Linked DNA regions of Struthio camelus. The protein of the gene in region 1 purifies or fractionates together with the protein of each later gene. This does not show direct contact. Links are inferred from orthologs where the notes say so. Each region holds a gene or a part of one and is shown on either strand. Other genes may lie near its edges. The genes, in order: ABCE1 and LTO1.

Region 1 (12,531 bases):
CACCTAAAGTTTGGACAGAGTATTTACGTTGCCTAGCTGCATGAATTGTTTTTCCTCACTTAAAATTAAAGTTATCTGGGCAAAACGTCCAAGTATAGAAACAATTATACAGTGCTAGTAGTGTTTCTGCTCAGGTGGTTTAGTTTGTTCACTGTGCGGGTAAAAACAATTTAGTTTAACAGAACAGAACTTACGATTTTAACATGAAATATTTCTTCACTGTTGGATTTTCTAATACAATTACACTTTCAAATTGCATCAAATACAGACTAGGCCAAAATTATTTCTAGTAGCCCCGAATACAGTTTATACCAAGGTAGTTTTAATGCTACACTTTGCCTCATGGAGTAATAATTCCAAAGTCAAAGAACAAACTATGTCTTCCCATCAAAAGGTAAAACTTTGTATTTGATTTTCTAAGAAGAAAAATTTACATTCCACTGTTGATTTCTTGTGTGCAATTTTACCTGGCTTACAGGATGAAAGTGACCAAACTGCTTGTGAGCCTATTTCTCTAACAGTACCAGTCCTCTCTAACTGCTTTGGATCAGCACCAGGTGGTGTCTTGTTTGGGGTAGTCATTTCTGAGAAAAGAGAACAAGCAAGTTAGTTGATACATTTTCAGCTTGACGGGAGAACAGGGGAGTTGTGTTATTTCATATAAAAGCTTTAATTCTCTGGCTTCACACTTCTCTCCCTCTCTATACGACTTATTTCCGTGGTTCCACATATATGCAAAAGTCTGTCTCCCTAAGAATTTGATGCACTCTTGGAACATTCATAACACACATTTCACTTTTATCATTCTCATTCATACTGAGAATTACTTAGGGTTTCAGGTTTTCTTAGGTTTCTCTCAAAAATCAAAAAAGCCCCTGTTGATTTAAAGGCCAGCGCTACATATTTGTTTTTTCCCTGCACTTGTGAGGTTCCTTTTAATTTGCAAGTTCAGAAGCCTATACAGAAGCTAGAGCAAGCCAGTCATCCTGAAGATATTTCTCCTTAATTGCAGGAAAGCAAAGTTTAAACAAATCATGTGGTCCCTAATTTGGTAGGGAGAGGTTATTGATGCATTTATCCACAGTCCATGTCTTTAACTTCACAACTTCATCTGGAATAATTAACCTGTAATACACATTGCCCAAGTAATCACACTGAGTCTTTGTGCCTAAACTACCACCACACATGTTGTTTTTCATTTACTATGGAGCACCTTCTACCTAGAAAATAGTTTAAAAAATAAACAAACTGGTTTTCCCCCTCAAAGGATTAGAAAGGAACAAACTCTATGCAAGGAACTACATTAAAAGCCTAAAATATAAATCACTCAAGAATCAGGAATTTTGAGTTGACTTCTAATCCTTTGCTTACATGCATGACAATACATTACACCCTGCTAAATTGCAGAAAGAGGTCTTCCAGTACTCCTGCTAGATAGAAAGTGAGGTACAAAACTAGTCTGGTATCCATCTAGGCCTCAGCCACTACAGAAATGATACAGGTCAGAGAACAAACTAAGGATTCTCCACAGAAGAATAGCTCTGCAGCTAAAACTTTTGGGTAGGACACAAGAAATCTGAATTCTGTAGTTTACATCTTTGTCTGCACGAAATATCTTCTATCTGGTTCTCATTTAAAAAACACACATTTTTCTCGTTTTGTAACACAAAGTTAAGATAGACTTCCGGTTCTGTTGTGACTCACTCACATTCAAGGTTGCAGTCATGACTGCCATTAAAAAGTCCAAAGAAATAATTACCTATGTTGTAAAAAATAAGGACCGACAACAGCAAATATCACAAAAGATCGTTGTTTGAGCAAGGCCTTCTGTGGCCCCAGAAAAATGGGCAAAACTTCACACAGCTACTAAAGATCTCACGTATATACTCATTTAATTCATACACATATATATACACACACACAAATCTCTAATTGGATGTGATTAAGAACTTCATGTAATATGACATTTTGAAGTCTTTTCATTGTGTTTTCCTGCAAAAGTGTTTGAAATCAAACAGCATTAAAAAGCCCTAACAATTAATTTCACCTTTCCTGTACTAGACACTACCACATTAATCTTCAGTAGCCATCATATTTAAATACTGTATTATTCGTTTTTAAAGCTCTAACAGGTATTTAGAATAGCCCCTTTTAAATGTAGCTGTTCTCTGTTGTATTGGCTACACTATAAACATGTAAATCCATAGAATAGACTATATAATAAAAGTGTTTAACTTACTCTAGTTGCAAATTAGTACAAGTTTAAATCTGTTGACAGCAGTTCCAATAAAATACCATGCTCATCAATTATTCTGATCTTCTGAGAATTTAAACCTCTCTCAGAAAAAGTTACAAAATGCTTTAGTTCAGTCTTTTGTTATCCTAGTAACCAAAATATGCTTATTAAGCATTGAGGAAAGACTATTTTCCCAAACTCATGAATTTTAAAGCTTAAATCAACTAACTATCCAGAGTCCGCATTGATTATTTTGTGCTTTTGTGATAAAGAACCAGAGAGGCTGAGCTGCACTTATTTTAATTCTCATTTTCATACAGAAACCAACATTCCTGTTCTTCCCATTTCTAAAAATATACATAGAAAATTTAATCTTGCAGATTAAAGCTAAATTACCAGTTCAACACAAACTCTTTAATATTACCACCAGCAAGTCTTCCTATTCCTTTATTTCTCTTGAATCAGAAATATTAAAAAAACTCCCAAGTTTCAGTCACATCTGTGATCCTACAAATAGCTATTGTCAGATTAACAGAAAAACAACCTTAAGACTAAGAACTATGCAAAAGTATTAAAATAGGGTAAGTCATAGAAACCACATTATTCACTTGGGCTACCTCAGAAAGCTGATTACTCATACTTAAAAAAATATATATATACACACTGAAATTTTAAAGCATTCAGAACCTCTGAAAACCGTGACGCTGAGATATCTTATAAGCTTCAAGACACAGAGAAGTCCAAAACAACTTAACACCGCTAAGATTTATACTTTATGTATTGCACTGGTCCACAGACTTTTGAGGCATACATTTTGCAGGCCTGAAATCTACAATGAGAAGTATGACCTAAGCTTCTCATTTTCACAGCCTGAGCTTGCTTCCTTCCAACAGGTAAAGCTACTAAACAGCCAAATTTCAACTCCAAACCACTGCTGGCAAATAAGCCTGCCATAGATCACGCACTAGAAATATGAAAGACTGAAAATCATTAGTGTTTGAAGTAACAGTTTGAACTAATCAGGTCAGTTTTTCCATGACTGAACTTCTGGTTAACCAGCTTAGCAAGCAACAATACATTCTGGATAGCTTTGACTCCTAATACACCAGGAACTCATAAAGCAAGTGAGCCAATGAAAGTACAGGGAAAATAGAACAGCAGCAGGCCCACATACTCCAGTAACACATTTTGGCTTTTTACTAGCAGAGGTACAAGCTCTTCATTTTGGACAAGATGCTAATACTTCGCAATAATAATAAAATCACATTTGCATCTGACTTAAGTCACCAAACAAAAAAAAACATTTTCTTAGACTGAAAATATAATAGAATGAGAATCAGCTCCAGGCTGTTAAAAAAGTAATCCGTCTAGAAGCCTTTCTCCTTGTCTTTGAGATATGCTAGAAAATGCAGAGACACTGCCTCTATAGAAACACTGGCTGGGAACATCTCCCATTTTCCAAACCAGTTACTCCTAAAGACTACTATTAGGCTTGTTGTTTCCTTAATGAAAATGTGAATATTTGATTGTGTTGTTAAAACATTAAATGTCACACTTCCATTGTGCCACCTTCTAATGTGCCACACACCCATCTTTTGATTAAGGTAAGAGGAGGGTTGGGCTTCCTCCCTCCCCCAACCCTTGATCTCTCTATCCCTCAGCATCTTCCTGTTTCCTTCCCAAAAAGGGGATATGTTTGCTCTTTTCTGGAGGACATCTCTGTGAAATAGTATTCATGAAAGAAGTTTTATCAAAAGTAAGGTTTATAAAGAGAGTGAAATGGAATTTACTTGGTTCAACACAGCTACTTTCCACAATCCAAGCTAAAGTCATTCTCAGTACACCAAGAGAAGATACACTTAAAAGGTGTATATCTCAAAGCAAACCCCTTGCTGAGCACATACACGCTCTTCTGCGTCACACTGAAGAGATGAGCAGGACACATGTTGGTTCTTTCCTGCTAAAGCTCCATGCAAATCCAAGTGCAAGGAAACTTTTGCAGATTTAACAACCTTGGCGAATAGTCAGCTTCAGTGTTTTGTCATCCTAATATCCAACCCAAGTATTATCCTCTAAAAACAAACATTTCCTCTTGTGTTCTATAGGTAAGTCAAAGATTAGTTGTTCACTAACCCTTATGTAACTTAGATATCTAAGGACCACCACTAGATTTGCTCTCAGTTACTTCTCTAGATTAAGAGTACCTATTCCTTTCAGGTCTCCCTCACAAGCAGTCTTATGAACCTAGTATTTTTGCAGTCTAGAGAGCTACACACTACAATTAAAAACAACAAAATTTACCTTCCCAGTCTTTATATATAATCACATGTGCTAACAAATGCCAGAGAAACATTTATCTATATGAAACAGCATCAAATTACTAATATTTATGCACTCTAATTCTCAGGTGCTTTTTGGGGACCGTTTGCTCTTCAGTAATACCCCTTCCACTAATTTTACCTTTGATTTTTCCTGCTTGTGTTCAAGTCTCAATTCTTGTCTCTATTGAACTTAATCTCACTGACTTCAGACCAGTTCTCCAACTTTTTAAGATCATTTTGAATTTTGACCCAGTCCTGCACAGTGTTTGCAATCCTTTGCATTTTAGCAACATTCACATTTCATGTTTACTATTGAAGAAAACTGAATAAATACACATTCAAAACAAATCTCTGGGAGGATGCCTCATGACATCCCTGCTTAACAGGGAATTATTTACAAGTCAGCTTTAGAGAAGCAATTTTTCAAGCAGCTGTACACATCTCAAAAAAAATAACCGTGGACCACATTTCAGTAACTTGTTAAAAACAACGCCAACCAAGACAATGACAGAGACCCTGTGAAAGTCAAGACACACCACGTGTATTGCTTCTTCATTAACTACATTGGCTACTGTCAAAAAATAAATAAGTTTCATCCAGATTGTTCTTAATAAAACAAAGCTAGCCAGGTTTCTGTTTGCTTTTTGTTTTCTCAATTGTCTCCTACTTGCTAAAAAAAAAATTCTACTCCCCTACCTCCTCCAGGATCTTCCAGAGGATCAAAGTTAGGCTCACTGATCCATGATTTCTCATATTTTCTGTTCTTGGTCTTTAAAAAAAGAAAAGGCCACGTTTGAACTTCTATAGGTTTCAGAGGCTTACTTGACTTGCCCAAATTAAGATAATCTCCAACAATTCAGAAAAATACTTCAGCTAATTCCCTACGTTTTCTATGGCGAGTTTTTTCAGCTCTTGCCAACTTTAATTTCTCTCTTATCCCGCTAGCTCCTTTCTGATTTTTACCTGCACTCCCATTGTCTCATTACATAGAGTTTTAGCAAGTATCTGACAACTTTTTCATCAAGACTGAACAAAGAAGGCATGGACTCCTTCTGCCTTTTTGCAATATCCATGGTTCATATAGCAGTTTCCCTTATCCTTCCTAACAGGAAGGAATTTCACACCGTTGCTTTCCTGACTTTCATACTTGTACTACTTAATGGTACTCATTTTATCCCATATGTACTTTTCTTCCCCCCTCACTGCTCTCACTTTCTTTGTGTGGTCCCTTGTTGATTTTAAGGCCTGTAAAGCTCCAAAGATACATCCAGAAAGTAGCATCTTACCACATTTCCTATTTTTCCACTTAAATGAAAGAAAAACACATCAAGTGTCCAGTAGCAAGCTATTTCAATAACAGTCACCTCCGCTGCACATTTCATTCCTCAGATACATTTATTAGTACTTACTATTTTTATTCTGACTTCACTATATTGCTTTGAGCCTAAGAGCATGAAAACGGCTCAAATCTCTTGTGCAGTTGGTGTCACGGCCATATATGTTCTACCAAAATTAATTCAAACAATTACATATCAGAACATGAGAACATTAACAATTTTTTTAAATATATCCCTAATCAATCTTATTAGACGTATAAAAGACATTTTTACACAAGTTCAGATTTCAGAAAAGATTCTGGGAAGGATACAAGCACTTCTTTAGGTATGGTTAAAAGCAATCTTTAAAAAAAATAAAACAACTAGAGGACAAAACCATCTTTGACAAATGAAGTTGCTTTCACTCAGGCCTCTTTGCTAGCCCTCTAACGTCTACATAGGACTTTTATTTTGATTTACGGTTTTAACGATAATTAATTGTTTTTAGTCGCTCCACTATGATTGTGTTCCCTAGCCTCTCGAAATATTTATAACATTGGAAATTAAGCAGCAGCACCGACTCAAGACATCAGTTGTGCTTAACGGCCAAATCATATTTCCTCTCTCTCAATTTGGGGGGAGGGGGTGTCTTAGTTTAAATGCATAAGCAAACACACATGCACTAAACGAGAAATACAAAGTACCTATTTATAAGTGAACCCCTATATCTAGCCGCTAAACGCTCTAAAGCTCAAGCAAGCACACCGCATAAGAAAGCAGACGTTTTGCCCGGGCACCGCTACAGCTTCAGCGGCTGCCGTGACACCAGGAGACGAGACACGGGAGAGGAGGGGAGCCGCACCCCCTCCCCCCAGCCGAGGCTGGCTCAAGGCACCGACGAGACCAGGAGATACGCGGCGAAATCTCCCCCGCGCCACCGGGGCGTAGCAGAGCGGCATCCCCACCTGATTCTCGGTGACTGCTGCGGCGGCGGCGTCGGGGATAGCAGCGAAAGGACAAGACGGCCCAGCGCCACACGGGCCCCTTCAGCGGCGGCAAAGGGCAGGCAGAGGCCGCCACCTGCGTGAGGACCCGCAGCTCACGCAGTCCCTTTTAAAACCGCCAGCGGCTCCCGGGCTCGCGCTGACCGTTCAACCGCCGCCTGACCGCGCACGCGCAGACCACTGCGCGAGCTCGGTTTAAAAGAGAAAGGCCGGGGGGGGGGAGGGGGGCGGAGCGCGCTCGCAGGTGCCCGCGTGCACCCGGTGGGGGGTGGCGCGCGCGCGCCACAAGCGCCACTCAGCGTGGCGCAGGGGAAGGGGCGCAAGCAGCAGCGGCCCGGTCCCCCCTCACGGAGGACGGCAGCGAGCCGCAGCACTCGAGGAAGCCGGGCGGGGAGCCGCGCCGGCCGACACCCCCCACCCTCCACACCCGGCCTGTAACGTGGCACCGCCCCTTCTGAGGCGGTGTCACTCGGAGATGACGTCAGCCCCCCGCCGCCGCCGCGTCCCTGCCGCGCTTCCGACGCCAGCCCCTCCCTTCCCTGCAGCCGGAGGCGCCGCTCTCTCTTTCAACGTGCTCCGTTTCTCTATGGTGAGCCTCCCGCCCTTCTCTTTCCTCTCTATGGTGCGTGGCCCAGGCCCCTCCCTGCGGGGCAGGCGGCCATCTTGGCCGGGTGGCGGCGGGAGCACGTTGCGCGCCGGCCCGCGGACGACGCGGCTCCGTTCCCGGCTGGAGCCCGGCCGGGGAGGAGCGGCGGCGGCGGCGCCCCCTTCCCCTCCCGGTAAGCGGCCCCCGGAGGGAGCGGCGACGGCCTTGCGCGGGGGAGGGGGGGAGGAGGCGAAGGGGCCGGGGGGGCAGAGGGGGCCCCGGCCTGCGGCTTCCCGTGGCGCCGGCGGGGCGGGCCCGGCCCGGAGCGGGGAGCGGGGCCGACGCTGCTCCTCCCGAGCCCCCAGTAGCGGCCAAAGCGGGGCTTTTCTGCCTAGCCCTACGCTGCCTGTGCGGCCTGGTGCCTTCCCCGGGGCGCAGAAGCATCTGTCTCTGTGGGGTGGGAGGTCTTGCTCTCTGCAGCTGGAATTGCCCCTACGTGGAGTTGGCGTTTTCTGGCGAAATACGTAGAGTCGGTCGGTTTTTCTTAGCAGCCTTTTTTTGTTGGCTCTCTTTTGCTATGCAGCAGCCCAGTGAAAACAAAAGGGGGGGGGGAAATCATTGTGTGCTTCTGAGAGTAGCCGTAGGGATTGCTTGCGTGTAGAGACCCCTATGCAGGCTTAGTGCCTGGAAAGGGAAAAAGCAGTGTTTTTTTTTTTTCCTGAAAGTGAGGAATTTCACTGCTGGAGGAAAAAGTCATATTTTGCCATATTTCCAGAAAGTTAAAATCCGTATATGTGGTTGTGTAGTGAAGAGATTAAGACGTCTTGCAGGTTTCACATGGTAATAGGTAGGGCTGTTTTTTCCAAGATGAGTGAAAATACAGGAAGGGATTTTCAGTAGGACCTTGGTAGCGCTTCCTCTCTGGAATGCACTTAGCTGCTTCACCTGCAGGTTTCTGTGACAGTTTTCAGGTTCAAGATTCTCTTCTACCGTTTCCTAAACTGTTGTCCTAAGAAAGTGATCCTTAAAATACTCGTTGAATTTTCATGTGGTAGATGATGTTGCTAACTTATGGGCTTATTCTTACGCGTTTCTCTTCATGTTAAAAGGAAATACTAAGGATTGAGTGATAATTAATTAATACTCTTCAACACCAGCTAAGCATACCCACTTATTATGCCACATCAGCGTATTTGGGCATATGGTTTTCCGGTTAACATTGTTTTTATATTCATGTTGTGCCTTGTAAGCAATATGTTGAGGTAAATGCAGTAATGATTAAGAGATTTGGGGCTGATTTAAAACTTCTCTTTGCACAACGTTATTTTAGTTTCCCAAAGAAACATGTCAGAGCTAGTAGACTAGTTCTTAATTCTCGGTAGATCCTTGTTTGCACTTTTAACATTTACTGTTATTTCTGCTCTGGGCTTTATAAATGTACTCCCTTATATGATAGCAAGAAAACAAATTTTCATGTCTTTCACTTAAATTTTCATTGGGTATCTAATCTGTAAGTTTCTTGCTCTAGTTGTGACGTAACTGGATATAGTGCTTTAAAGATGGATTGAGAGATGATTCTTGAGGCTAATGATTTTCAGAGAAAAGTGTAAATGCGTGCTATTCATCCTCCCTCTTTTTACACTACTTATCATTTAGATCTGATGAGATGCAATTAATTAAAATTTTCGCTGCTTTTTCTGCAAAGTAACTAAAGTATCGCTCGGTTCTGAACACACGTCTCTCCTTCGTAGCTTTTCCTTCATAATTGAAATGTCTTCTCTCTGGTTATGCTTCAGTCTTCATTGTCACTGTTAATGTTTGCATGTTTAATTCTGATTAATAATTCAGAGCTATTACAAGTTGTCCTCTGTCATAACTGACTTGATTCAGTAAATTGCATTGTGCTTTTCTGGGAAAGAAAAAATAAATATGAGTATTTCCTAATGCAAGGACTTTAAATTTCTCCCATGGATTATAGATAACTGCTGCCTTTTGTGATAGCCTGCGTGGGTGCTTCCCCCCCCCCCCCCCCCGCCCCGTGTGTCTGAGATAGCAGTTGCATCTGAGAGCATAAGAACATTGACTTACAACGCTTGTGATAACGTTTTCTGTGTTCCTTATTTTTAAACCTGCTTTATTTGTATTAAGTCATAATCAGACTTAATGGGCAGCTTTTGGCTTCAGTAAATGATATTGTCAAAGATTTAAAACTTTATTTTGCTAACATTTGTTATTCTTCCTCACATTCTTTTACCTGTGTCACCGCTCCATTGTTCTGGAAAGATTTCCAGTTGTGTTTCTATCAGAATTCGCTAATTCAAATTAATGTATTACTCTGTAATTAGTAACAAATTAATATATTTGCACTTTGTTTTCAGTTCTGTTCTTCTTGGTTTGGAAAACAGAAATATAGAATTGAATTTAAACACTTCTGAATACCAGTTTCTCCTGCCCTTAAACTGCTGACTCTACCTAACAATTACTGGTATGCTGTATTGTAGCATATACATATCGTATGTGTTGCTGACCTATATTCCGTGCTTTGAGAGTTCCACTGTCTGCCCTGCGAAATCGAACAGTCCTTTTTGATGTGCTAAATGCCACTGAAATAATTGTATATAAATATGTAACTTGAGCTCAGTCTGTTTTTAGACGGTGTTTTTTTAATTGGCTTGAAGCTATAGAAATTTAAATGAGTTTTGGATTTTGTTGTTTTGTTTGGGGGGAGAGGGAGCAATACAAAGCTGCATTTCTTGTGGACAGTTATTATCCTAGACATTGGGACTTCTATCACTTCTGCAACAGCATTATTTCCAGAGAAGTCACAAAATATTGTCTTCTGAGAACAACTTAAGACCCCTCATAGAGTTTTTGATAAACTGGCAATTCCGTTGAGTAGATGGGAACAGGGAGGCATGAGTGACTGTCACCATACCGGTTCAATACTTCCATTTCCCTCTTTTCTTCTGTTTTCCCCTCTCTATAAAGTACTTGGCGTACTTAACACCTGTGACTTGTAGTCCCTTCAGAACTCTCTGCCACAGATAAGCATTTTCCCTGTATAGGTAAGTTAAGTAAAGTTTTCCATAAGCAAAGTAAAAAGTTCCTGAGCTGCTGTATTACTTACTAACAAAGGTCTGATTCAGCAAGGGGTAATAGTGTAAACTTTAGGGGGGGGGGGGTTTCCTGCCAAGGCTGGTTAAAAAGTTCACTGAGGTAGGTGGCAAAAACTAATTGATTTAAGCCATACTTGACTTTGTCTTTTAGAGCAACCCAGCCACCCCATTCTCCTCTTTCAGTGCTTTAAGATAAGATGCCAGACTGGAAGGTGAGATGGATGAGGACTGAGTTTATGGCCTGATCTGCTATCTGTACTGCTTAGGCACTAATCTCTAGTGCAGGTTTGGGATGTTGTGTGGAGGAGGTAAGCTTCTGAAATTCGGCAAGTCTGTCTACTAGTGCTTGCTTTTGTGGCTCTTAGAAACAGCCTTTGTGCTAATGAAGAGCTAAGATGACTAGCAGGTAAAGTCCTGCCCAGGAGATAGACCAGTATGATCTGGCTGCTCAGTGTCCTCAGCCACAAGCTTTGCTGGAGCTAGGGCTGACCCAGGTTAGGCACCTTGCCTTGGAAAACCAAAGAGGAAGTGGGTGATCCACCTTCTAGTACCCTGTGCAATACAAACTAGGGGACTCTTTTCATACCAGTGAAATATGTTCCCTAATCGTTCTTTGTCTCAGTTGAAACGCTGACAAAACCCAGTGTTCTAGTCTTCTAGAAGATCACCCTGACTCAGACCTCCTTATAGGTCTCCCTCCTTAAGACCTCCTTCCTCCTTAAGAGGAAGACTTTCCATTTCTTACTTTTTTTTCCTGTTGAAAATGTATTGAAGTGAGAATCGTAAGCCTATTATCCCATGTCCTTAATGAATGTACCAGCCGCTGCGCTGTGGAGTCAGTCGGTTTTTCTCTCCTTGGCCTGTTCTATGGATGCAGTCACAAGTGCAGCCCTACTTTATCAGTCTATTCTGATCATAGAGAATTTAAAAAATATATATTTTTGAAGGTATTTTTAAAATAATCCTATATTTAAAAACTTCGGTTCTTGTTATTAAGACTATTTTAATATGACGTAAGCTGCTAGGAGAAGAATGTAAAAAACAAAAAATGTTCAAATATTGGAAGTAGAGACTATCGTAGTAAGAGTTGACGGCATGACTAATAATTGCATTCATTTATACCTGATAAGGGATCTTTAGCCATTAAATTAAAAATATGTTTGAAATGGAAAAAGGAGGTGAGGCTGCCACTTTCTAGAAGGATGCACTTAAAATATTGGTAAGTATGGAAATAATGGATCTCAAGGCTCAATAACATCTTAATTTCTGATCTTTGCTCCCTATTAGATAGATGCCGGTCTCTTTTTTAATTTCATAATACGCTGGCGTCTGCAGGATTCCTTCCAACTGTAGTTCACAAGTAGGTTTAGGGATGGATAGTGTTTAATGAAATAAGCGTGCACCATATCTCTTCTTTCATACATTCTTGCTTCTTTCAGGAGACTGAAAGTCATAACCTTTCTTCATATAATAGGCATACATAGTAAATGATCTCTAAAGCACTGCAGGATACTTTAGTTTGTTGGGGCAAAGATGGGCTGTACGCCCACTAGAAAAGACTTTAGTAAGAACAGTTGGAATCCTTCTCTGGGAAGAAAGACCATGCACAGATTGTGTGGAAACCTGGAGTATTTCAAGACTCCTTTACCAGTCGTGTCTTCGAACTACTGATACATATCGCATTGAACTGAAATGATTTTGAATTGGCGTCATCTGTATGACTGCCATCATTTTCTTTAGGGGTCTTAAACTGAAACTGGAGATGGTTTGCACGTGTTGGTGATCTTTCTTTAGACATAAAAAAAGTCTAGTTGTCATCTGTCCCAAAGTAACATCTTGTAAACTTCTGATAGCCTCATAATTCAGTTATTTTCTGTATTCTGAACCAGGAGTAAGTGGAGGGCATGGTCCTTAGGGGTGAATTGCTCTTGCAAAGATAAAATCTTAACTAT
Region 2 (12,052 bases), on another chromosome or scaffold:
GAAAGAGCTGCCCCCAGAGCAATGCTGCGGGCTAGCATCCCACCTGCCAGTCCCCTCGTGCCTCTCTGCTCGCAGCTGCCAGGCATAGGGCCCATGGGCATATTTGTGATTTTCTTTCCTCCCTGCTATTCAGCTCAGGTATTCTACCGAAGATTGTTCCTTTGAAGAGGAGATACGCCCAGACGGCTACAACATATATAAATCAAAGAAACACGGGATCTCTGTGTCTTTGAGCAGCGCCAAGCAAAGACAGCAGTTCAAGGGAAAAGATTTTCTTCCTTTATCTCACTTTTTACCTATGATCAACACTGTGCCTGTGGAATCAACAGACTTTGGTGAATATGGTGATTATAGCCAGGCTTTCGAGTCAGATATGTATTCATCGCCTCTTGAAACCGACAGCATGGATCCCTTTGGAATCACCTCCAAACTGTCTCCAGTGAAGAGCCCGAGCTTTCAGAAATGACTCCGATTACAAATATGATGTAAAAGAAATATTGCAGAATACTACAGGTTTTTAGCTTTTCATGTACTAGTATTTTGAATTTTTTTTTATATTTAAGTATTGAGCCAGCCTTTTCCTTACAATGTGTTGTACCTGGAAGATATGATTGTTCAGGAGCTATATTCTAAAGAATTGCCTCCCTATCCATACTTTATTTGGGGGGAAAAAAAGAAGATTAAATAAGAAAAGCTTAACCAATTCACCAGAGTTACTCCGTTACAGTGGTGACGAGAGAATTATTCTAATTTTTCTATACCAAGTTCATTATCACATATGTTCACCTGTTATTTTTGCTCATAGGAGCAAATGTAGCAAATGTTTTTCATTCACAGGGAAGTTAACGATCTTGTAGGTTCATAGGCCTTAAAGACAAACATTTGGAACAACACACGATTAAGGGAGACCTAGCAAATGTGGTTATGTGAACTAAAGTAAACGCTGTCCCTTGAAAAGCTGCTGACAACATTCTGGGAAAACTTTCTATTGAAAGCATACCACTGAAAAACAATTCTGCTTGTATATTGTGTTTCTTCTTCCCTTAAGACATAAGGGAAGAGGGGGAAATATTTCTTCCTTCCCTTATTGCTAAAGGGTAATTTGGAAAACTGGATCTTTGATTTCTTTTATAGGCTAACTTATGTTTACTGTAGGAGCTGCATCATCCAATATAGACTCCTCATTAACATTAGTGAGAATTCTATATATGGGTAAAAGTGTATACAGAACCCAATATTTATGTTCGTCAGGTAGGGAATGAGCAGTACCAACCAATTAGTTTTCAGTAACAGAAGGTCTGTTGTATATAACTATATATGTCTTTAGCAAATGGAGAGAAAGACTGAAAATAGATGATGTATAGGTCAAATCGATTGCAAAATAAGTTTTCATGTTTTACCTTCCAACATCAGCAGTTCCTTTAAGGCCTTCCAGGCTTGATTCTGCATCAGCTGAAATCAATGGAGAGACAGTTTAGTTACTTGAATACTGCAGAAGTGGGTCAGTCATACCATTCACCTTTCAGGGAAAGACTGTGGGTACCTTATGGCCAAGAGGTGCATGTCTGATACCTTCAGTTCAGTTCTCCTGTTGCAACAATTTGACAAAGGAATAACAAACCTGAAACTCCTCCCAAAAAGGAATGTGAGAAAAGGGTTCAGGGATTTTACTCCTTTCCAAAGGTTCATTTATAATAGAGATTTCTATACCAAAAAAACTCTACTGGAAATACTAGCCTTCTTCTTCTGACCTAGCACTTCATTGCCAATGCAATATTTATAATTAATTTATTGAATGCATACATCTGTTTATTTTGTTACTATTATTTATGCTCAAAATTCTATTTATATACTCTTGAAGGTGGATTTTTTTAGTTGTAACAAATTTTGTGAAGTTTTGTAATCATGAAACAGTAGCTTTTTAAATTTCTGTATATTACCAGTAGTGTAACACGTACATTTGCAATAAAAAAAAAATCATCTTCAACACAAAAACCTGGCTGACTCTCTTTTGTAACTCCTTTAGCCTAAAGACTTCAAGGAGCTTCATAAAACTACTGAATTTGGCCCCACAGCACCCTTGTGAAGATGGTGTTGCTGAAGAGGTATGACACACAGGGACACAGAGAGACCGAGCGATTTACCCAGAGCTGGACATTGAGTGCCAATGCTGGAATCAGACTCCATCTGTTCCCAATTACTGATGAACTCTGTGGTAAATAGCACGTATAAGAAAGGTATTTTTACTATGCAAGGGAGAGAGTTCACTAAATTTTGATAATTTAGTGGGTATAAGAGAAGGGCACTTTCTCTTTTTCACTTCTGACCTAATCTTAAGTTCCTATTCTCTGGTACAATGTATAAGGGAAGCTCAGCTCTAAGATCTGTGGGCAGTCGTGATCATGGATGTACACCTATTTTATAAACTATGACTTTTACATTCCATTTATGTCATTAAACCCAGTTTGCTCCGCTTGCTGACATCAGCGTGCTGGATGCTGACGTGAGCGTGAGGGACCTACGGTGTTTGCCCCCAGCTGCTCTACGAGAGATGGAAAAAATCTGCTACAAATGTGATTGCTGCCATCCTTTTCCAGTGGGGGATTCTGCTGCATGGGTGCAAAGCAGAGGCTTGGGTGAGTACAGCTGCTGATGGTTGCAGACAGGTCCAATTTCCAATATAGGCAAAGCTGCATCCTGTACGTCAGTAAGCGCACACCATGGAGCACGCTCCTGTATGACCAACAGGAACTGAACTGTCAGCAGTGATTTTCAGCCAGACTCAGCCCACACCACAAACTCTACCTGTGGATTTTTACACTAGTACATAAATCGTCCACTGGCAAAAAGCAAAAATACTGGGGGTGGAATGCTGCTGCCTCTTAAAAATGGCAGTATACTCTGCAATGCAAGTGGGGAGAAAACAGGTTGTTCTTCCTGAAAAAGATGTTGTTTTCTAACAGGAAATCAAAGACCAAATACTTCAGTTTGGAAACGCTGCATGGGTGGCTCACAGAAACTGTAGATTTATTTCTAGGCTGAAAACATCTCCCATGATGGGTCACGTTCTCCTTTGTGCTGAGCCACTACCACACATCCGGAGGTTTCCTAGTCCTCATATATCGGGAAATGTAGTCCTGATTTTCAAATTGTTTTATCCCAACAGTTTTCAGATTTGGGGCATTCAGCTTTTCGTCAGACACTATATTTTCTTTGAACCCTGGATAATTTTCAAGACCCCTTCATATAACTCAAGAACTAGAAAACAAAATAAAATGAATATGAATATTTTTAAAATTCATCAAAAATTCACTTTTCTGCCAAAAGACAGTTTTGATGGGAAACAGTAAATAAGAACAGAATGCATAGGATACACTGTTTAATTTAAGTGCTGAAAGAATTTTAGGTAGCTTTAATGTCTCTATTTGTGAATATGTGTGTAGAGCACAAAAATGAGCACCCCTACATTCGTGAACAGTATCTTGGGATTTTTAGTGACCCCATTTGCTGACACCTTTGAATTTGCATCTTCCACCAGCAGCACAATGTTTCTTACTGTAACAGCATGGTTAGAGAGGTTGGTTCAATATTTATTCAGACAGAGGGAAGAATGCCAGGAGCTAAATTACCCACACCGCTTCCTGGAGCACTTTAGTTTTCCTTGGAGGTTTCCCATCCAAGCACTGACCAGGCCCAGCCGTTTTGCTTATGAAATCTGACAAGATCACAGCTTGAGGTGGACTGATTACTGGAAAATGCTTTCCCTACCATTAGACACCTGACTAGGTCAGGAACTTGCAAAACCTGTAAACATCCTTGCCGTAGGTTCTGTGGGAATATAAACACCCCCACCATTGCGAATTGCACTATATAAGGCTGGGCTGATCATGGTTTGTCAAAGACAGTAAGTCGATTGCAGTGCTTTCATTTGTAGTAGTACATTTTACAGCCCTAAATTCTTTTTAACATGTTAGGGTGTCGAATGTCTCCTTGTGAAGTCTCAACTGGAAGCTATGATGTGTAAATAAGAGTTGTTAGAGTAGTGAGAAGGCTGCAGAAAAGGAGATACTGGGCATCTCCATTTCCACTTTGGGGAAGTGTAAAAAGCTGTAAATCCTTTATGCAAGGCTCATAATAGCAACGTTAAGTGCTGAAGCTATGTATGTGAACAATCTGGATGGTGCTTCCTATGCTGCCAGTGTGCTTTGTATAGGAACAGAAAATGACATGATAAACTAAACAAATGCATTCTCTTTCATCTAAAACATACAGAAGCCAATCCTCCATTCAGGCAGCTTCCAATGGGATGGAAGTAGAGATGCATATCCCTTGGAAGCGAATGGGAGAGCAAGGAAAGATCTCAGCAGGACTCTGCATTAGGGGTGAATTTATGACATACACTAAGTTTATCGGGAACCCTGTTGGATTGGACTCATTGTTGAAGGTGCAGAAGAATGTCCCCAAAATGGAACTAGCTTTACTGTCACAACTTGCCAGAAAAAAATTATCCTATTTTCAGCATATTCGATCAATCCTACTGCCCACTGAGATCAAAGAACTTTTTGTCTCTAACTTCAAAAACAAGATTTAAATCGTAGTTACTAGCTTAGAGGAAATCTTCAAAGATACCTAACATTTCCACTAACATCAGATGGCTGGTGAACAATATGTGTTTGTGACTGAGAGGCTGTACAGTGGATAGGTGTTCACACCTGGGAAAAACTTTGGTGATTTAGTGTGAGATTCAGGGAAATCTAAACATGAAATTAACAGACAACACGAGCTGGCTGACTGACTACAGTCACTCTAGATAAATCAGCATAGCCTGAAAGACATCAGTATAACTGAATATTGAAATATATGCTTATAAGTAAGTATAAATGTTTACCCTTATCCAGTGTTCATCTGTAATAATAAATAAATGTAGTAATACAGCTGTCTAGAATAGCACACTAGAGTTTGGTGCTGTTATATAAATACATCAAACATATACTATTTGAAAAGCAAAAATGTCCCTGGTCAAAGCAAAACTGGCCTGTACTAGATTCTTGAATTTCTTCTGTTGGAAATTAGTCTTACTTATAGTTCTTTACAAAATGATTTTGTGCTTACAAAACGACAGCTGGGCTGACTGGTAAAGAAACAAAAATTATATCATCCAGAAATAAGCTCAAGAAACGAGACAAAAATTTCATAGGCATTTAAAGTCTTCCTTAGTACTACACATCCTAACAGTTTCATGGGAAAGCAACCAAGATTTATCCTTTCAGTTTTATCACTATTTTTTTCCATTCCACTTCTAGCTCCCACTCCCTCTGTGGTATTGAACTGTTTTCTTAATGCCAAAATGCCAAACCAAATCCCCAGTAATATCAACATCACACTTTTTTTTGGAGTTTAATAGAACTTGGATCAGGGGTTCAACTGCGTCCAAGGCCTGATGCAGAAATTACTGAGTGAGCTACACATCCTGGGTTGTGTGTAGACCAGACTAGATAGTCAGGACAGGTTCCTTCTGTGCCTAAAATGCGTGAATCTAAACATCGTACGCCCTGGCTGTAAAACAGGAAAAATATATTGGCTTTACAAGAATGAGGTTGATAGCTGTTAAAAAGATGTAGTGGTAAATTGCTGGACAAAACCAAAGACAAATATTGGATTAAACAAGCCTTTTGAACAGGCTCTGGAAGCTCTGAGGCTTAAGTATGGGCAGAGGAAGTGATTTCCAGGCAATACCCTTTCTCCGCCTACTGCTGGCAAGGCGGCTCTGAGGACAGTTAGCAGCTACGCTGAGTATATATCAACAGGCTGTAAGAGCGGTGAGCTCTCAGATGGGGCATGGGGCAGTTCTTCTGCTTTATTGTTTAGGCTACACATTGCTTTTATGAAAGATTTCTGCTAGCATAATAGGGAATAACTGACATATTGGGTAGCAAAACTGAGGCAAGTCATTACTTGAAAAAGAAAAGGTTGGGCATTTTGTTTGATTATTTCTTTTCCAGGAGAAAGAAATATTCCGAAAACCTGAAAGCAATCCAGTTCAATATTTATCTAGCTCAGGTTCCAGGTTGGAAATATTTCTTCCTTTCTTCTCTTTCTTATAGTCATTTTTCACTCATAAAAACATTTATGTTGCTATACTGGTTGTGCTGCCATGAACGATTTAGAATCAGAGCTGATAGCTTTATCAGTCAATAAATAAAAAAAAATTGAGCTTTACTTGTAGAAGTATTCAAGGAGTACCACCACACAGGACTCAAAGAAAGACATTTGTATTTGTTGGGCTGGAGAACAGAAAGAGGTGATGCCAGAGAAACATGAAGAAAAAAGTGGTTCTACAGAAGATCAGAAAGATTTTACTGGACGCCAGGACAGACAGACAGACAACTAATACTTTTGACGGGTATGTGCAAGTTAATCAGCTCATGGAAGAAGCTGGCTACAAAACAGAGGTCTGAAAGCCTTAGAGAAAGCGTGACCCAGTGAAGTGAACTGAAAGGATAAGAAAGAAACACTGCAGTCATATGGTATAAACAGTTTCCCTCTCTTACTCATCGTGGCCTAACAAACAAACATGACAAATGAAAAAAATCCACCGAATTTTAATTTTTAGGAAACACATTACAAGCGTTCAAATGGATCACTTAAAAAAAAGCAAAGTAATTTTGGGAAATCAAGTCTACAACTGAATCCAGAGCACTGACTTGTACTTGGGGGCATCCAGCTGAAAATGACCTTATTTCAGCACACCTGCACAGACCTCATTGCAGGGATTTGAGACTGCTTTATATAAGCAAGTCCTTTGGTACAGCTGTCGTTTTGTAAGTTCTCATCTAGAAACCAGAACCAAGGTCCACCTTGGTGCGAGATGGTGTTAGCTTCCCTTTGAACATTTTATAGAACTTGGATAACACAGTATGCCTCTCAGCCTTCATAATCCACCTCCTCAGCCAGGAAGGCAGTATTCAAGATACCGACCTGTTTCTGTTTTCGTTTGGATGAAACATTTCCAAGCGGCTTTCGGCAACTTTTCGCTACATTTGGAGGATATCAGAGCTTTGGCCAAAAACCTTAGTTAAGCACCACGTCTTAAATTACTTGAGACCGAGGGCGGCTAGTTTTCTAGTAACAAACGCATCTTCCACCCACCTAGCACAGCAGAGAGGCGCTTTATCCCGCGGCGGCCGCAGCGCTTTGGCGCCCCCTGGCGCGGCGCGGCCTGCCTCGCGGCCGGCCGTTGGGGCGCGCGCCCCGCCCCGCGGCCGTTAGGGGCCGTTAGGGGCGGCCGCTAGGGGCCGTTAGGGGCCACCCGCGAGAACGGGGCCGGCCAACGGCGCCGGCACCGCGAGGCGCCGCCGCGGCCACTCGCACGGGAAGGGACAGGCGGGCGCCGCCGCCGCGCCAGGGGCGGCGGGGCGATACAGTCCCGGCACAGAGCAGCCGGCGGCACGGGGAGGGGGGCGGGGCGAGGGGGCGGGGAGGCCCCGCCCATCGCGCACGCGGCACCCCATTGGGCCACGCCCCCTCGCGGCTTGAGGGCTGGCCGCAGTCGGGTGGGGGGGAGGAGCTTTGCGCGCCTGCGCACTGGAGCCTCCCGTCGGCGGCCCCTGCGGCTTGCCGTCCTTTCCCGGCATGCTGAGCGGCGGCGGTCGAGCGCGTCGAGCGCGGAGCAGAGTCTCGGGCTGTCACGGCGGGATGGCGGCGGCCGTTGCGCCGGGCGCGGACATGTTTGACGACATCGTGATGGCCGAGGAGAGGTGGGGCCGGCGGAGTGGCCTCGGCCTGGCGGCGGAGCTCGGGCCGGGGTGGGGGCGGGCGCCTCTCGCGCCGCAGCTGACGGTCGGCCGGGCAGGGGGGGCGGAAGGCGCTGAGGGGGAGCGGTGCGAGCCGGCGGCGGGCAGCGAGCCAGGGAAAGGGCGAGGGCGGAGAGCAGCGGGGCAAGCCGTCTTCGTCCTTCTTTCTCCCCGAAGGGCCGAGTCCCTCGATGTCAGCTCTTCCCCTGCGTGCGCTGCAGCACTTCTGTCAGCGCTCGCATGTTTAAAATCCCGCGTTTTAAAACTTGACTCGGACTCGAGAGTTTATTAGCTGTGCAAAAAATAATAGCTAGTTGGTAAAAGGATTAAGTTGGATTGCGAAGTGCCTTGTTTGTGTTAAAATGTTATAAACTCGTTTGAAAACACCTAGATGTTCATAAATGCATGTTATTTGAAATTAATGCTGTGGGGTACTTCTAAATAGGAAACTTGTATTACTGAAATGATAAAGAATGTTTTTTGACCGTGTGAGTTGCTTGTGTTTGATATGAATACAAGCATTAAAAACTGTACTTCTCTTTTTGTAGGTTTCATGGTGAGGGGTATCAAGAGGGATACGCTGAAGGCAGCCATGTTGGAGTTATTGAGGGAAGGAGGTATGGATCACTCCACGGTGCCAAGATTGGGTCTGAGGTAAATGGGAAAATTTTAGAATCACAAGAAACTCACTGTAGCACAGAAACTGTTGAGCAAAGCCTGGTATGGTAGGTGGTAGCCTGAGGCCCAAGGGCTCCATTCTAGGATCATTTAAAGCAATTTGTTTTAGATTGTGCTGAACCAGTTGATAGCATCACATAGGGAAAAAAAAAAAACATTGAAAGTATTTAGCATTTAGGAGATGAAAATTGAATACATTCCATAAACTTCATTGACGTTATGCACTTTAAATTGTATAATGAGGAATTTTTTTTGAATGAGACAGTCCATTTACACTCTCTAGTCATAGGTACATAGGCAGAATGTCTTTTTTTAAATTATATTGCTTTGTATGTGTCCAAGAGGGCCCATAAAACTAGTTTAAAGGTGATGTTTTGATTTGAACGTTTTTAACGATGGTTTCACATTTCCTGAGTTTATTGGCTGTATGGAATTCTGAATTTTTTTTTTCTTTTGAAAGGGAGGAAGAAAGGAGAAAAATATGAACAAAGTCGAAGAAGCTTGCTCAGAACAAACTGACAATGCATGTAGTGTTTATTTACTTTTTATAACACAAAACAGGCTAGAGGCCCTCCTGGGTCATCTGTGGCTCAGTGTAAGACAAGTAGAAGATTCTCAGTTAGTCAAGACTTGACTCATCAAGGCTTCAGGGAGCTCAGATATGAGAGAACCGACAAAAGCATGAAATGTTGGTTCTCCACCCAGATTGCCTCATAAAGGGGGAAATTATGGGTGTCTCAGCTGCACTCTTATTTCTAATACTGGTAGTGTTTGTTGGCTGAGGTACAATTATTTTTCAGTAGGTAGAGTCAGCTCCATTTATTGCTAGATTCACATGATGCCATGCCTGACTCAGTAAACCTTCCTGAAAATGAGTCAAGGTGTCTCAGTGCCACTCTGTCATCTTGTCCGTCCAGCTCAAGTCTATAATGTTGCATGTTCAGTGCTGCATAATGTGGTTAAAGTATTTTTGGACCTGAGCTGGTCTTTTTCAAGTTCAGCTTTGATGTGGAAGCTGTACTACAGGATTCTTAGCAGGGCTTATTTCCAGTACGGCACCACAAATCTCAATCTGTTTGGTCTGTTTGAAGCTCCTTTGGTAATTTTACAAGCGCTCTTTCAGGTTTAGGAAGTTAATTAACTGGAAAAAGAACACTGGCAATGGTGTTGGTGCATTATGAGGTGAAAATGGTAAACTGTAAAAAATTCAGAAAGATGTCTATTATAAAATTTTGTTTTACGTTTGGGCATGATACGGAAATGTATAGTGATGTACTGTTTTGCTACCTACACTACAACTGTGGCGTTCCAAGAAGATACTGTTAGACAGTAGCCCCAAAACTGGATGCCTAAGATAAAAGTGTGATAGAGGAGTGTTCTAACCTATTAATATAGGGAAGTTCTGGAGGATGGTAAGGTTGTAGGCAGTCATGTTAAATGAGTGAGAGATTGACCTGGGTAATCTTAGATTTCTCAGCCTGTTATGTGTCTTGAGCAAAATCACAGATCTGTTACTGGCCTTGCCAGAGAGAGAATTAAAGGAAAATAGCGTAATTAAAATGTATTACAATGTATCCGTGTAAGATCACATCCCTCAGAGGGGCTTAGAAAGGGTATGGCTTTGGGCTCAAGCAAGAGATTGGCACTGCCCCCCCTCTGGTGGAGCTGTGCTAATTATGCACAGAAGCCTGCTGCTGAGTGTCCAGGGGCTAGGTGTGTTTTACGACAGTAGTTTGGGTTTACAGCTGTAGTACAACTTTGAAACAAATCTGTCAGTTGTCTCCATTTACCTTGGATCTCTAAGCAGTTTTGGTGCATTAAAATTAAATTGCTATTAGAAGAAAATAAACTGGAAGCTTCACTTGAAATATGCTCCAGCACTTAATGGGATATTAATCCTAAACTTATGTTTGGGCCTCATGAAGGACCTCCGCTGTGTATTTTAACAAACATAGGCATCCCAAACGCTCCTGCTGTACTCTGAAGTTGGTTTGTCAGCTGCAGGAACTTCCAAGTCCTACAGGGTTTTGTTAAGTTTAAAGGTCAGATGTATGTACATGCACGCATACAGACCAGTGTGGGATTAGGCAGCAGTTTTGGACTTAAGCTCCTCAAACTCAGCTAAATTTTGCTTTAGGTGTCTGCATCGTTTCTCTACCAACATTAAGTCACTTTTGAAAGGGACTCCAGCTATCTCGTCCAGCAGGTGCTTTGAAAAACTTTATCTACGTTCCTATTTCATTTAGTATCCAAAGTCATAGTGAGAAGTTCTTCTGGCAGCAGGGCTAGCTTCATCAGCTCCTTGTGCTTCTTTCTGACTCCATGCTACTGTCTTCAGTTAGACTAGTAAAATTATTTCAATCATACTCTCAAAAAAGATAATTTCCTGCTTCAGTTAACTTGGCTGCTCCCTCATTTGAGCTGGTACAGGTGTTTGTGGGGGCTATTTGCTGGCACTGCTGCAAAAACCAATCTTATCCAAGCATCCTAAATAGGCAGGTTGTTTTCTAGTTATATCCCCACTGCTACAGTTTACAGTCATAAATTTGGGAGTTCAAAGCATATAAAATAGGCTAGTGTTTTTCAGAATTGCTGTTTGTGCTGTGTTTTAAACTGTAGTACGCAACTTCAAGGACTCAACTGTTACCCTGCTGTAATTTACTGAACTTTCCAACACAGAAACTTATTTGTGTATCCAGTGATTTGTTTCCTGAAGAGTGAGCTAGAATGCAATGCTTTTTTTGTTTGTTTGACTTTGTGCGTGTGTTTGTGTGTGTATATCCCCCATGGCATTCTTATAAATTCACAGGTTGGCTGCTACCTGGGGTTTGCACTTACATGGCGGTGTCTGCTCCACAAATGCACAGATGAAAAGAACAGGTAGGAATAAAAATAATTGTTATTCCTTTAATATTGATTCAAATTAAGGTGTCTGGTTTTGGCCCCCCCAGTATCAATAAACAGAAGGAGGGTGAGCAGAGGGGCCACTGGGGTGTTATCCTGTGCTGGGGCATATGATACCGAAGAGAGTGTAAGGGAACAGAGTTTCTTCATCCTGGAGAAGAGAAGACAAAGGAGGTATCTAATTGTACTACGTAAGGGGAAGTTCTAGATAAGATGGAGACAGAGTGTTTGCAGAGGTGCACAGTGAAAGAACAAAAGGCAGTGTTTACAAGTTGCAACAGGTGAAATTCTGATAGGAGGTAAGAAGGAAGTTCTTCCCAGTGTGGGTGGTTAAGCCCTGGGACAGATTGCCCAGAGAGGTTATAGGAACTCCATCCTTCTAGACTTTCAAAATATGATTGGAGATGGCCGGGAGCAACCTGATCTGATCTAGCTTTGAAGTTAGCCCTGCTTTGGGCAGGAGGCAGACTAGATAACCTGTAGACATCCTTTTCAACCTATGTTTTTCTATGACTTCTGTGGCTTTTTTTCTCCAAATGGAGAATAATGCATGTTTATAAAGTAGTAATAACACTCAGCACTTCTACGTCACTGCAGTCCAGTTTGCTAACCATTAACAGAGCACTTTTTCATTATGTAAAAGCTGTGATGCTGACATATGTAGCAAGTAAGGGTGA

What was found.
Region 2: the proteins of ABCE1 (region 1) and LTO1 purify together in Homo sapiens (affinity purification with mass spectrometry; 4 studies listed by BioGRID and IntAct, with this or other methods). This does not show direct contact. The link is inferred for Struthio camelus from reciprocal best matches to the Homo sapiens genes ABCE1 and LTO1.

Annotation. Positions count from the first base shown.
Region 1 is NC_090945.1:34,594,752-34,607,282, forward strand, and holds the start of ABCE1 (ATP-binding cassette sub-family E member 1), read left to right. Parts: upstream 1-7,092; 5' UTR 7,093-7,466; exon of another isoform or gene 7,467-7,656; intron 7,657-12,531. Other genes in the region: ANAPC10 (anaphase-promoting complex subunit 10), read right to left, coding at 468-582. UniProt on the Homo sapiens protein: Nucleoside-triphosphatase (NTPase) involved in ribosome recycling by mediating ribosome disassembly. Able to hydrolyze ATP, GTP, UTP and CTP. Splits ribosomes into free 60S subunits and tRNA- and mRNA-bound 40S subunits.
Region 2 is NC_090946.1:32,662,692-32,674,743, reverse strand, and holds the start of LTO1 (protein LTO1 homolog), read left to right. Parts: upstream 1-7,562; 5' UTR 7,563-7,632; coding exon 7,633-7,757; intron 7,758-8,341; coding exon 8,342-8,447; intron 8,448-11,280; coding exon 11,281-11,351; intron 11,352-12,052. Other genes in the region: FGF19 (fibroblast growth factor 19), read left to right, coding at 134-466. UniProt on the Homo sapiens protein: The complex LTO1:YAE1 functions as a target specific adapter that probably recruits apo-ABCE1 to the cytosolic iron-sulfur protein assembly (CIA) complex machinery. May be required for biogenesis of the large ribosomal subunit and initiation of translation.